Linked DNA regions of Drosophila melanogaster. The protein of the gene in region 1 interacts with the protein of each later gene in a pairwise test. Each region holds a gene or a part of one and is shown on either strand. Other genes may lie near its edges.

What was found. Proteins that work in one complex are often made in the same cells at the same time.
Region 2: the proteins of Pbgs (region 1) and CG1635 interact in a two-hybrid assay, tested with the Drosophila melanogaster proteins (one large-scale study listed by BioGRID).

The regions. Positions count from the first base shown.
Region 1 is NT_037436.4:12,266,857-12,274,853, reverse strand, and holds Pbgs (porphobilinogen synthase), read left to right. Parts: upstream 1-3,508; 5' UTR 3,509-3,578; coding exon 3,579-4,562; 3' UTR 4,563-5,402; downstream 5,403-7,997. Other genes in the region: Sms (spermine synthase), read left to right, coding at 1,234-1,356, 1,813-2,396; CG32100 (uncharacterized protein), read right to left, coding at 5,654-7,096, 7,204-7,224.
Region 2 is NT_033777.3:31,586,143-31,592,800, forward strand, and holds CG1635 (uncharacterized protein), read left to right. Parts: upstream 1-2,530; 5' UTR 2,531-2,610; coding exon 2,611-2,717; intron 2,718-2,777; coding exon 2,778-2,848; exon of another isoform or gene 2,849-2,901; coding exon 2,902-3,144; exon of another isoform or gene 3,145-3,203; coding exon 3,204-4,129; 3' UTR 4,130-4,250; downstream 4,251-6,658. Other genes in the region: rod (rough deal), read left to right, coding at 1-205, 276-1,101, 1,161-1,794, 1,855-1,965; CG1638 (uncharacterized protein), read left to right, coding at 4,476-4,594, 4,651-4,703, 4,757-4,999, 5,060-5,976.

The DNA.
Region 1 (7,997 bases):
AAAGAAAATAAATAAAATTAGAAAAAAAACCCTCATGACTATCACATAAATTGGACACCGTATCGCAGCTGATGTAAATTCACCGAGTTGTCATTTCCAGCCCAGAATTTGAACCGCCTCCCAAGCTCTGCACATCTCCAAAGCCACCGATCATGTTAGCCTAGCGTGTTACCTTCTAGGGGATTACTTTTCCAGGCCACTCCTGCATGCTAGTTTGTCTAATCTTTGGAAGAAGCCTTCTACCTTTGCAGTAGTGGTGCCAAGTTGCTCATATTATTGTACTGTGGGTTTAATCTCTTTATACCTTTATGTATCCACGCTGATTTTATATCAGCTCCTTGGCATCACTGCAATTTAGCATACCCACTGTTCTAAGATTATTATTTAATTTAAATTACGTTTTATTTTCATATCTATTCCATCGACACTCAACCGATCCATCGATCATCATGAACAACCGCTGCCACCATCTCCTGGACCAAATTACACACCAAAATTGCCACGAACTTGTGAATAAATGTGTAAACTATTGAATTATACTTACGCCCCAACGCACATGTGTCACCTGCCCCGCCTCGAAATCGATCTCGTACTCGTATTCGCTCCACGTCGTACGCTCGCTCATAAATTGGTTCCTCAACAATTGACAATCGACTACAACAACACGAAAATATCAATACAACACGGTTTATAAAAAAAAAAAACAATATACTACTATGTAAAATCGAACGGACATCCGCAGAGCGGTAAGAGCCTGGAGAATGTCCTGGCAATCAAACTGAAGGCCATCAAGGCCCAGAAGCTGCCGACGCTGAAGCGCGGCGATGTCTCCAGGTACTTCCCATCGTCAGGTAAGGCAAACCCAATCCGTTTGGTTAAACATATTGCAAATAGAGCAAATACTACTCGTACTACCGCTACTGTATGTCATCCGAATTGTGTGTGATCGTATGACCGTATGACCATTGAGCGTATGCAGCACCATCGAGCTGATTGTATCAGAGTTCTTCTAGTGGCACCCAGCATGATAGATCATTTCAGTCATTTACTTCTGATTTTCTCTCTATCTATATCTCGTTTACTTTCCGTAAGAGTGCATTTCGTTGGTCTTAAACTTGTTTCTCTGCATGCGACGCCTAACAATTGAGCCGAAATCAGTACTAGTAATAATCAATATCGCACTTAATACGGTCACTAATAAGGCATCACTAATCCATGGCACATCTTCCGCAGATGAGCGCATCATCGAGTACGACATCGACAAGGTGGTCTTCGAGGCGCGCTCGCCCTTCCAGAAGATTCAAATCATGCACTCCAAGACCCTGGGCAACATGCTGCTCCTCGACGAGCTGCAGAGTAAGTAAACCATACCTAGTATAGGCATCTGAATGCAATAAGTGGCACATTCACACATTGATGCGCCAACGGTGTCAGGGTCACCAATCGATTAGTGGAAGTGCCGCAGTAAAGGTCACGTGCAATTGCCTTTAAGAAAAGGTCATCATAAATAAATATAAACTGCACATAAACATAATGCACAAAAGTAAATATTCCATATCACGGGCATTTTCTGGATGCTAATGCTATGTTACCTGACAATTATTCCATATCACGAACACCTAGTTGCTTGTTAACTAAATATAATGAAATATTCTTATTGCTTAAAAGAAGAATAAGAAAGCTGAATTTGAAAACATGAATTCTCGACTAGATTAAAAACTTTTTAAGCTGTCGGTTATGAAAAGGGTAATAGCAACTTCTTTTGATTCTTTTTTAAATATAGATGTCTAATTTCCCATTTTCCACGTACAGACATTGCTGAATCCGATTTGATTTACACGGAGACCCTGATGTGTCGCGGCGTGGAGAACTACGAGGGCAAGGAGATCTGCATCCTGGGCGGCGGTGATGGCGCCTTGTTGTACGAGCTACTCAAGGAGAATCCGAAGCATGTGGTGATGCTGGAGATCGATGAGCTTGTGATGCAAACCTGCAACAAATACCTCAACGTGATCTGCGGCGATGTGCTGGAGAAACGCAAGGGCGATCAGTACGAGATCATTGTGGGCGACTGTGTGGAGTACTTGAAGAAGTTCATCGCCGAGGGCCGCAAGTTCGACTACGTTTTTGGGGATCTTACGGACATACCCATAACCGATGCCCCGGAGGGCGAGACCTGGGATTTCATTCGTACCATCTTCGAGCACTCCTTCAAGGTGCTGAAACCCGACGGAAAGTATTTGACTCATGGCAATGGGTCCACCTGCAAGGTGCAGCTGCGTCTATTCGAGGAGCAGTTGAATTTGCTGCGTCCCAAGGTGAAGTTCACCACCACCAAGGCGTTTGTGCCGTCGTTCATGGAAGAGTGGCTCTTCTACCAAGTGACTTTCGCCTGACAAGCTCAGGTGGACTCCTCAGCAGCAGCAGTAGCTACTTCTAGCGCACCACCAACCGCCAGTCACACACCAGCATCACACAGCATAAGTCAGGAACCGGGAACCGTCGGAGAGATGCTCCAGCTGCACTCCTACACTGTCACTATCCATGGAGCAGCAGTCGGAGTTCAGGAGGAGGAAAATATGAATAATGGAGCCGTGGGTCAATTGAAACCGCGACCAAGGCGTCGAAAGAAGAAGCGTGTACACTACCATCACACGCTGGTTTCTTAGTCCAGGAAACACGGAATCCGATGCACAAGCTAATCGCCATCATCGAAACCATCGCAACAAAACCCAAGACAGAGGAAAACACGCACTTCCAATGGCTGTTACTTACAATTGAAAACCAAACCAAATACTGAACCCAATTCGTTTACGCTTAAGTTAGGCTTTAGTTCCGTTTCTCGTTCACTGATTTCAATGCTAAAAACTAAGACAAAAGTACAACCTTTAAGCAAGGACAGGCTAAAATAATAACTTATGTATTCGTGTTTATTTGAATTACGCCTAAGCATAGCATGTTGGCCAACTATTTGTAATATTTCGTATAACGTGTACATCTATATAATGTAGACCATATGTTTAGTTATCCATTAACAAGCAAAGTGGAGCGGGGAAGGCCCAAGGATCGAGGATGTGTGTATGTGGGTGTGAGGAAGCGTAGCAGGAACACCAACTTTTATTGCTGTAATAACGATTAATACCAAACATTTTAAACGGGAGAACTAATAAAGTTAAATAAATAGTCGTACGCAGAAATAAACAGTGTGGTTTTCTTTTATTTTACCGGGTATTTTAATAATAAATCCTGGAATTCAATAAATTACAAATTCAATAGCAATATTCAAGTAATACTACGCATACGCAGTGTTGACCTATCCTTAATCAATATGGATAAAAAATTAATTAAGGGATTTATCGCTATGAAATTCTTAATATAAATAAAATTTTATCTTAATTATTTATATAAGTTTTTAAATTTAATTATTTTATTTTATCGTGAGCCACCCTAATCTTTTCATGACAGTGTTGGACAACCGTGCAATAGAGCACGCACTAAATATGCCCGCGGGCAGTTGAACGTTAATTTCACTTGTTGTTACGTTGGTTTTAATTTTCACCGGGAGCTAAGCGAACAAAATGGAGCGGAAACTGCACAGTGGAATGCACCATGCCACGCTGCGGCAGCTGCAGGAGTCGGGCTGCGAGATAGCGCCGCACAATCTCATGTATCCGGTGTTCATCGTGAGCAACGACGACGATGTCCAGCCAATTGCCAGCATGCCAGGAATCTCGAGATTCGGACTGAATCGCCTGAAGGAGCACCTGGAACCGCTGGTGGCCAAGGGACTGTCGTCGGTGCTGCTCTTTGGCGTTGTGGACCCGGACATGAAGGATGAGCAGGCCTCCAATGCGGATTCAGCAAAGAATCCAGTCGTTCTCGCACTGCCGAAGCTCCGGGAATGGTTTCCGGATCTGCTGATAGCCTGTGATGTGTGCATCTGCCCGTACTCCTCGCACGGTCACTGCGGCCTGCTGGGCGAAACGGGTCTGGAGAACGGACCCAGCATAAAGCGGATAGCCGAGATCGCCGTGGCTTATGCCAAAGCTGGAGCACACATTGTGGCTCCATCGGACATGATGGACAACCGGGTGAAGGCCATTAAGCAGGCCCTCATCGATGCCCAGATGAACAGTGTATCCCTGCTGGCGTACTCCGCCAAGTTCACATCCAATTTCTATGGACCCTTCCGGGAGGCAGCACAATCTGCACCGAAATTCGGTGACCGGAGGTGCTATCAACTGCCCAGTGGCTCCAGAAGCTTAGCAATGAGAGCCATTCAACGTGATGTCGCCGAGGGAGCCGACATGCTGATGGTGAAACCGGGAATGCCCTATCTGGATATCCTACGATCCACAAAGGATTCCTATCCGTATCACACGCTGTACGTCTACCAGGTTTCCGGGGAGTTCGCTATGCTGTATCATGCCGCCAAGGCGGGAGCCTTTGACCTCAAGGATGCCGTGCTGGAGGCCATGAAGGGCTTTCGACGAGCTGGTGCCGATTGCATCATCACCTACTACACACCCTTTCTGCTGGACATTATCGGAAAGGTCAAGTAATGGTCTACGTTCCATGTCCGATGTCTTGATACCATGTTCATATGTACATGCGTAGATTAGAGTGGACCTCTTAAAATCATTAATGGAAAATGGAACTTTTTGTAACAGATAGTGCAATTTTTGTAGGATTTTCTAATTATTTATACGGAGCTCTCCATATTTTATACTTTAATAAGCAAAAGAATAAATATTCAGGGACCAGCATATTCATTTTACCGATTAAGTGGCTTAAATAAGACTCAAAGGCTTTTACTTACATCAATATAGAAGTTATTCTAATACATTAAGATGTGTATTCAATAAAAGAAGTCCACTCTAGTCTCGAATCAACATTACTAATGCTTTTGGAGTGCCTCGCTCACATGCACACCCAAACTAGAATGTATATTTCGATGGTCTTATCTATTGTCCCGATTTGGAAGTCTAATGGCCCAGGGTACATTTCGAATTTCAATTGCATGGCGAAATTCAAGCGAACGAAACGAACCGAACCGGTCGATCCAGTAGCAAGAAATCGAATAGATGTTTCATTTTGTGATGGCAATTAACACTTTAATGTGGAATTCTCTCGATTGCATTTACAAATGGGCTACGGTGAGCATTGAACACTGGCTGGAGCTTACTTGCTAAATTGGTACCAGTTTCGAGTCTTACGAAAAGATTAAAATCACAAAATCAAATGCATTAAGTACATAAACAATTGGATCCGGCTCTGGTTTCTGGTGAAAGTTGATTGAGCAATAAGGTTTGGGTACTATTAGTTCTTAAAAAACATTATCTGATAAATAAAAGTATATGGTTACATTTCTAAAACTTTCACTTTTATGCCGTATACTAAATATTAATATATTTATACACAAATGTATAAACTTCAGCGATTTCGATTAAAAATTTCCTAAGCTCCAGTGCGGCCAATTTCAGTTTAAATTGGATATAAAAAACATTTGCAAGTGTCTGCACGAAATCAAAACTAATTAAAATTAGAATTTAAACTAAAAACAAATTAAGGAATCTATAGCTAATCATAACAAACAGAAAATACTGAGTGCACTAACGATATAAATAGTTCGGAATTCAGCGAGTCCGCAGCTCTAGGGACTCTCGCTGCTGTGGATGCGACTGTGCTCCAGGATATCCGTGTTCTGCATGGGCTCCAGATCCGTTTCGGAGATAATCTCTGCCAGCCACTGCTCGATTTGGACGGGATGGAATGAGTCTTCATCACCGCTGTTTGCCTCGAGGATGATCTTGAGATTCTCGAAGTTCTTAAGGATTAGCCGCTTGCCCGGCTGCAATTGTGGTCCCGATTCGCTGTGCGTTAGCGATGTGGTGGTCGAAACTGGCTCCTGTTTGGCAGCCGACTGCTTTGGATTGCAGTTGGCATCGCAACTGGAATCGGCAGCCGATGTTTGAACGGGCTCTGCCAACTGGTTGTATGTCCTGCGTGGCTTCTCTACCATGCTCTTCTTGATCTCGTTGAGTAGGCGATTGTAAAAATCGCAGGTGACATCGTGAATCTCGGTCTCCTCGTACCGCTGGGCCTGTCCAGGCGTAGGAGTGGAATCCGAGCTGGGTTCACGCTCTATCTTGTCCAGCTTTTTGTTCGCCTTTTGCTTTTTGGACTGCGAACGGGAGCTGGCATTACTGGAGTAATTGGAACTGGAGGCGGTGGTGGTGGGCGTGGAGTTCGAGGGTTCGGTGGTACTGGAATCGGCGGACTTGGCCAGGGGCATCTCTGCACTCACCGCCTCTTCGCTGGCGCAGTTGATGGTCAGGCTGGCTATGTTGCGCAGATTGATCGTGCCATTGCAATTGTTGATTGTGATTTTTGGCTTGAAGCGCTGTTTGCGACCCTTGCATTTCGGTGGTTCTTGTACGCTGCTCTTTGATTTGGCAGAGGTTTCTCGCCCCAAGCTGGAAACGGCTTCGGCAATCGAAGATTCCAACTCGTCATCCAGCTCCTCCAAGTTTAAGGGCGGCACATATGTATCCCTCTTGATCTTGGCCTTTTTTATCAGATCCTTTGCCTCCTGCAGTGTAATGTTGATAATGGAGCGCTTGGCATTATCTTCGACGAGACTTCTGTTGCGAGAGAAGTCGACCACAATGGCCTCTGGTGGGGCACCGTCTTCGTCCAGATCGAGATACGATACTTGCCCATCCTGCAGGCACTTGTACATGGTCTCGTGGTCATCTAGTGGCTCTATGTAGTCCTCGTTCCTCAAACCCGTGGTGCGGTAATCCTGCAGCGCCAACTGCATATCACTGTTGTCCAGCAGAAAGTGTCCGTAGCTTCGGATGGCTGTCAGTAGTTTCTCCTCCGCATCCTCGCTTTCCCCGGGAATGAAACGCACACCACTTTGATCTTTCTTGCCAACCGAGTTCGAGTTCTCCATTTCGGTGGGCGACTTCTTCAGCAGCTGCTGCTGCTGTCGCGTGTTCGCTATGACCTCCAGTTGCCGGAGCAGCAACTTCTCGCGCATATGCAACGCAGCACGGATTTCATTGAACTTCTTTTGTACGGTGTCTTTGACCTGGGCGATGAAAAATTGGGGCGTGTATCAGTAAACAGCAGTCAAAACACACAGTCCATTCGGTTTTAGGGGGCTGAATATAAAAAAAGGAGAGTACAAACACAAACCTCATCCAGATTCTTGTCCATTTCGTGCGTGCTACTAAATACTTTCTCCTTTCTAAACGCTGCGCATTTTTTTTCATAAATTCCTGTGTATCAATATTTTTTGTTTGATCGATCAGCTGAGTTGCGGAGTGCCCGCCGCTTTTAGCTAATAAAAAACCAGAGGCTCACAAGGACTGGTACTTGTAACTGGTCACACTTTACATTTGGCGGGAAAATTGAATTTGCAAGTTTGATAAGAACATATTTCATATTAAGTATTATTTTGGCTTTATGCCAAAGATTCTGGTAAAGTTGTATTTAGTAAAAACACTTTCATATTCCTCATTAACGATCTTTCTGTTTTACTACAAAAGCACAAGCAAAATCTAGCAAAATAATATAGGCAGCTCTTTAAAATTGATGAAAGGCTTTGTGTTTTATTTATTAAATTATTTAATTATTATTTATTTATTTAAATTATTTAAAATATTTTGCCGGGTTGTTCAAACTTTTAACGTTAGCGGAAGTGCAAGCGCTGCCACCTTGTTGCTGCGCTTAACAGAGAGATCATACTTATACCGCTACGACACTACATTGTGGAGTCCAGTACAATGGAAGGAATTGGGTTTTAAGATTTCAAAAGTCTGAATTGTTAGGGCAAACAATAAGCACAAAATTCCAGAGATGAACTAGTTTATGATTAATTAAGCTCTTTAGAAGCATATTAATTTATATATCAAATGTAGTGGTGTCACAAGCACTTGAGCGGCTTAAAAGTGTGTGACCGTATGGCAACAGTAGAACAATCCACATTA
Region 2 (6,658 bases), on another chromosome or scaffold:
TCGGCTCCGAAGGAAATGGAAATCTGGATGAACATTTTGCACTTCCTGAGACACAAGATGATCACCAGAAGACGCAATCGGCCAGGTCAGGTGGAAACCGACACGTGGCTGAAATCACAAAGGGAAAATGGCGTTATGCCGAAGATATCTCGATATCGTCTGCCTTTTAAGCCCATCGTAGAGCAACCTCTTAAGGATATTCTTGGTATATTCAACTGAAATAGTTTAATGCTTAATGCTTCTGTTTAATTATAGTTTCCGCTTCTTCTATTCAGACAGCGAACTAAACGTGGACAACTGCCAAAGCTGGTTTCCACTGATTCAGATGTACACGGCTTTGAAGGGATCCAAGGATAGTTCCCAGAACTGTGACTACTTCTGCATGTCAGCAGTAAAGAATTCGATATCGGAGTACAAGTCGAAAAATGATTCGGAATCATGGAGTCTTCATCCCACGAATAATGCCTTCCTGCAGTCAATACTACGACTGGTCGAGAAGGTGAACAACCCAAACAAGGCATTTCTAATACTGTACTTCGTGTCCAACTATGCTCGTGATGGAGCCGATCAGGTGGAGGCCTCCTACGAGTGCTGGAAGTTTGTCAAGGAGAAGGGCCACCTGATTACAGATCCAAAGAGTCGCGAGCAGGTTGCCAAGGTGAAGCGACGGTATCCTATTCAGAAGACCCAGCACCTGCTGTATGTCTATGGCCTGACCGATGAGAAGCTACTGCGCCAAGTTGAGAACCCCACCGAGCTTATTCAGGCGCTCTACCACCATGAGCTGATCCTCAAGTCCAGCAAAGTGGATATTAACGCTCTGGTCGCAGAGATAGCCAAGCTGCACGACCTCTGCTTAGCCACCATCCAGTACCGCCTGCTACAGAAGTGGCTCGCTCTGACTATGGAGTCTGCGGGTGATGGTACCATTTTGGAGGAGACCTTCATGGAGGAGCAGAACTGGCCGGAGCAGGCCAACGGCGCAGAGTCCTCCAACAGCCAGGACGCCAGCGAGAACGTAAATAGAGCGTTTTACATACTTTCCAGTTGGCCAAAGGCGGAGGCAGTCAAGTTCCTTGTGGGTCTGATCTTCAAGGGCGGGTAAGGATTGGTACTTAAAAGTTAGCGAAAATAATTCATTGAATAAACCCTTCCACCAGTTCGGTAAACACCTCCACACAGCTGCAAATGTACGAGTGCTATTCCAAGCTAAACGATGGCAGCAACTCCTTTACCAACACGATTAGCCAACGCCAGTTCATCAGCATCAAGTGTGTGCACGAGCTCAAGGCTCTGGGCTACAAGTCGAACCTGGAGAAGTTCTCCGACGACCATTGCAACAAGATTGACATTCTGAAGATGATCTGGCAGCGTAATGCGCAGAATCCCCTTTCGCTGGAAGTCATGGCCAACATTTGCCTGGGCTTTGATATACACTTGCCGCAGATCTGGAACGGCATTCTGAAGCGCATGGTCATGTTCCATATGGTGCGCGAGCTGAACGCCTTGTTGGATGTACTCAGCTGCCGGCCGCATCTACTTCACCTGGATGGACTGGCCCAGGCCTGGGACTATGTGCTCTGCCATCCTCTGCAGAACGCAGTCGAGCTACGATCCTTTAAGCAGGAAGAGGTGCTCCACAAGACGCTGCTGCGCCTGCAGGGCTGTCCGGTGGTGCACGCCCTCAACCTGCTACAGTTCGCCCAGCTCTGCATCGTCGTCCATCGACCGCACATGGCCGCCTCTCTACTCAGCTTCTGCCAGAGCAGCGAGCAACGCCAAAAGATCAAAAAGGTATGCTCGAACCGCGCACTTTAACGAAATGCTCTATTGTCACTCTAACTCTTCTTGCAGATGATACATTCCCATCCGGTGGAGAACCTTCGGCAACAGATCTTGGATCTGGAAGATGCTGGTATTTTGCCGGTGGTGCTGAACTTTGCGCTCAAGGAACTAAATCTGTAAGCGTAGAGATTTGGATTTTACTATTCCCATAATTTTTTGTTTTATTGGTCGAATATCTGCGTTAAGTGCGTTCGGGTCAAGATACTTTTGTAAATATCAAGGTTTTATACCTGCAAATATAGTTTATACAAACGATGACTATTTTCTATTTTAATTTTAATATGTTATTTTATATACAGTAGCAATTAGTCAATATTCAAACAGTACAATCTCTTAATTTCATAATTTATGCATCACAAAACAATGTGTTAATTTGAGAAATTGTCTAGGGAACTTCGCTTCCCAGTTTAAAATTAACAACAATCGGGATGACGTCATACGTATGTATCACTTCTGTAAACAGTGGGCTCAAGTTGATGGAATACTGAAAATAATGAGATATATTAGGATTTTTTTTAAATGAAGACTTTGTTGTGTAAAGAACAGTCAGTCTCAAATCAATTTAATTAAAGTAAATGGGAAAAAATTAATATACTAAAGAATCGAACTTTTCGAAATTAGTTGGAGACGAATTTTCTCGAGCCCACTGTACCAGTCAGCTGTGGCCGCCAGCTGTTTTCTATTTGGGGTTAGATCAAAGACAGGTTACACTTTGTATGTAACTTGAAAAGCAAGGAGAAAGCTGCGAAACTAAGTTAAACCGAGATGATGCGTTCTTTGATAGGAGCACAAAAGTGCTGGGGCCTGATCCGCACCAGGAACTTTATGGAATTACCCACCAAACAGGTGCCAGCATCCTTCGCATTGTTCAAGTAAGAGCAAAAAATAAATGATGAGCTTACATGGTAAATGAGTACTTTCATCTCTAACAGGCGTCACTACTCACCGCCCACGCATATCAAGCAATCAGCGGTCGCCAATGAATCCGGAACCATGGCGGAGGGTAAGTGTTGTCTTGCCAGAGTCAAACCCATCGTAATCCCCGAACGTCTGCAGTCAAGCAGGGGATGATGAAGCGATTGGGGCTGGAGCCCGGTTACAACCCGCTGCCCAAATCCAGGGAGCAGCTGCTCAAGTACCAGCCGAAGCTGGAGGATCTGCCTCCAAGAGCTATGCAGGATTCCTTCACCTCGGCCATCATTCCTCTGAGCACGGACCGCAGTTTGCAGGACAAATATGTGACCTATCTGGGCAATGTGCGATTCGGGCGACTTCTGGAGGACATGGACTTGTTTGCTGGTATGAGGAACACATTTGCTGGAATCTTGGCGCACTTTCTCACTATCCGCTATTTCCAGCTTGGTGCTGTCATAAACACCTGGTTCTGCCCAATCTGCCGGAGGGAGTTCATCTGCCGTACACCTTTGTGACCATTCTGGTGGACCGCATCGATTTCACCAATGTCTTGGCTTCAGGCACCCAAGATATCCGTTTGTCTGGGCACGTTTCCTGGGTGGGAACCAGTTCAATTGAGGTGGTAGTGTGGCTGGAACAGATGGTTGGCGGGAGGTACCAAAAGTTAACCCGTGCCTTGTTCCTGATGGCAGCAAGAAACGCTAACAATACCGGAGCGGCTCCTGTGAACCCCTTACAGCCGGCCAACGAGGAAGAGAAAGTGATTCTGGCTGGCGGCGCAGATAGAAAGAAGAAACGTCAGATTCTCTGTGCTCAGTCCATCTTTAAGGTGGAACCCAATGACCCGGAGCAGACAATTATGTACGAGCTGTACAAAAGGACAACTCCCACCAACACTTTGGAACTCAACAAGCGCATCCTGCCACCAAACTGTCGCTGGATGGAGGACTCTTTCCAGATGAGCACTATTCCCTCATTTCCGGAGCACAGGAACCACCACAACCGGGTCTTCGGAGGCTTCCTCATGCGAAGTGCCCTGGAGATAAGCTGGGCAGCAGCCTACCTCTACTGCAAAACGCGACCCAAGCTGGAGCACATATCCGACATCAGCTTCGAGAAGCCCGTCAGCGTGAACAGCTTCATCAAGATGACCGCCTATGTGGTGTACACCAAGGAGAACTACGTGCAGATCATGACCGTTGCAGATGTGATGGACCCACAAACGGGCAGCCAGGTGACCACCAACACGTTCTACTACACCTTCTCGTCTCCGGACACGGTTACCGAGGTGCTGCCCCGCTCCTACCACGAAACCATGTGGTACATCCAAGGTCGTCGAAAGTTCGAGGCCAGCATGGGCCCAGTGTAGACATGGTTCAGCCTGTGATTGTTACTCAAGATATTATGCAAGGCTATCCTACCAGATAAATGCAATTACCAGTTCAGTGTTTACAAAAAGCAATAAATGTCTGTTGTTTAATGATGTGCTTAACCAACCAGCTTAAAACTTTTAAAATCTTCTATTAAACCCTATCGAAGAGTACTAGATTAAATGTTTATTAATATAATAACTGTCAAAATAATCCCTAATTTTTGCCGACTTTACATTTTTTGGATACCCATTACCTGTAATCAAAAAAGCAGAGCTGAAGCAAAATTTATAGTTTTAATTTCGTGTCGGATCTGAGTTCAGATCTCGATCCCGATCCGTTTCCATGGGGCCTGGTCTTAGAAATGTTAAATTATGTGTTGTACCTTTTTTGCTCGGAGCCCGCAGCTGCCGGAGCTTGTTAAAGGCCAGGACCCTCAGGAAGATGACACATAAAAATTCCAGGTGAAGCACCAACACAACTAGCAGAAATCAGATTTTATAGGCCACATTTCTTCTAGCTCTAATGGGCGTAACTCCTCTGCGGACGGTCAATACGCCACTATGACGGAGAGTAAGTACTTCCATTCCAGAAATAGGTGCTACTTGTCCAGATATCCCTTTTAGTCAAGAAGAAGATGCTGAAAAGCTTCGGCCTGGAGCCTGGGTTCACCACGGAGCCGAAGTCCAGGGAGGATCTACTCAAGTACCAACCCAAGTTTGAGGACTTACCTGCGCGATCTATGCAGGACTCGTTTTGTTCGGCCATCATTCCTCTGAGCACGAATGCAGTTCTGCAGGACAAGTATATCAACTTTAGAGGCTTCGCGCGCCTTGGCAGGCTTCTGGAGGACATGGACATCTTCGCCGGTACCATCTAGTTTGGCCAAAGCCATGTTGTTGAATAATTGTCTGCTTAATTCTTCGTAGCTTGGTGCTGTAATAGGCACCTGAAAGTGCCCAATCTGCCAGAGGGAGTACCCTTGCCGTACTCCCTCGTGACGGTCCTGGTGGACCGGATCGACTTCACCAGTGTCTCACCCCAGGGCACCCAAGACATCCGTCTGTCTGGCCACGTGTCCTGGGTGGGAACCAGTTCCATGGAGGTGGTGGTATGGCTGGAGCAGATTGTCAATGAGGAGTATCAGAAAATCACGCGAGCTCTGTTTCTGATGGCGGCGAGAAATGCCACCAACACAGCTGCGGCTCCAGTGAATCCCATTCAGCCTGCCAACGAGGAGGAGAAGCGCATCCTAGCTGGCGGGACCGACAGGAAGAAGCAACGACAGCTACTCATCGCTCAGTCCGTCTTCAAGGTGGAACCCAACGCCGAGGAACAATCTCTCATCTACAAACTCTACAAAAGGACTACTCCCAACGAGCAAACCGGTCCGCGCCGCCTCCTGCCTCCCAACTGCATTTGGATGCACGACTCCTTCCAGATGAGCACTATTCCCTCATTCCCGGAGCACAGGAACCAAAACAACACTGTCTTCGGGGGATTCCTCATGCGCAGTGCCCTGGAAATTAGCTGGGCAACAGCGTTCCTCTACTGCAAGGCCAGACCCACGCTGGAGCACATATCGGACATTAGCTTCCAGAAGCCGGTCAGCGTGAACAGCTTTATCAAGATGACCGCGTATGTGGTGTACACCCAGGAGAACTACCTGCAGATCATGACTGTTGCCGAAGTCCTGGACGCGTACACGGGGAACCACGTGACCACTAACACGTTTCACTATACCTTCTCCGCTCCAGACGCGGTTACTGAGGTGCTGCCTCGCTCCTACCACGAAACCATGTGGTACATCCATGGTCGCCGCAAGTTCATTGCCAGCAGAAGCTAAGCCTCAAAAAAAATTCCCGCTCAGTTTAAATTCACGTAGTCAGTATTTCTTATAGCTAATGTACACAAAGACTGGATTAGTTTGAGCAAATCTTGTAAAATATGTTAACCAAACTGTGCCAGGTGATATTTCCTGATCCAAAAATCTATATGATGCCTATTAAATCGAGTAACTATTCAAATTCCTTATCGAAAGCAGAAAGCGTATAGTTGGCCGTTGGCCCTGGCTTTTATTTCGAATACCCAGTTGCGTGAAGATCATGACCACTGCCAATGTTCTGGGCACGCACGTGATTGGTGGTGAGCCCTACTCCCACTCCGCAGATTAGATTGGGTCCACAATTGATTCATAGAAAACATTATATTTTCGGTAATGTTTTGCTGTCTAATCAGACCGAAAATTGAATGTAAAACTTTCCATCTTCTTCGCTAGTCTGGCACTTTTCGAAAACATCATCTTTACACCTCATTTCAGATTAGATTGCAAGCTTGAGTAGATGCACTGAAAAATAAGATGTTTCTGTGCTAGAGACGGAATATATTCAAACACATAGTCAGTACAATATTATGGGATCACATCATTCTAGCATCAAATAATCTAACATATTTTCAAAAGATTTAATTCCCAAAAGATCAAAATATACAAATCCGCTCGAGAACCTACGCTATTTCTTGCAGTGCAG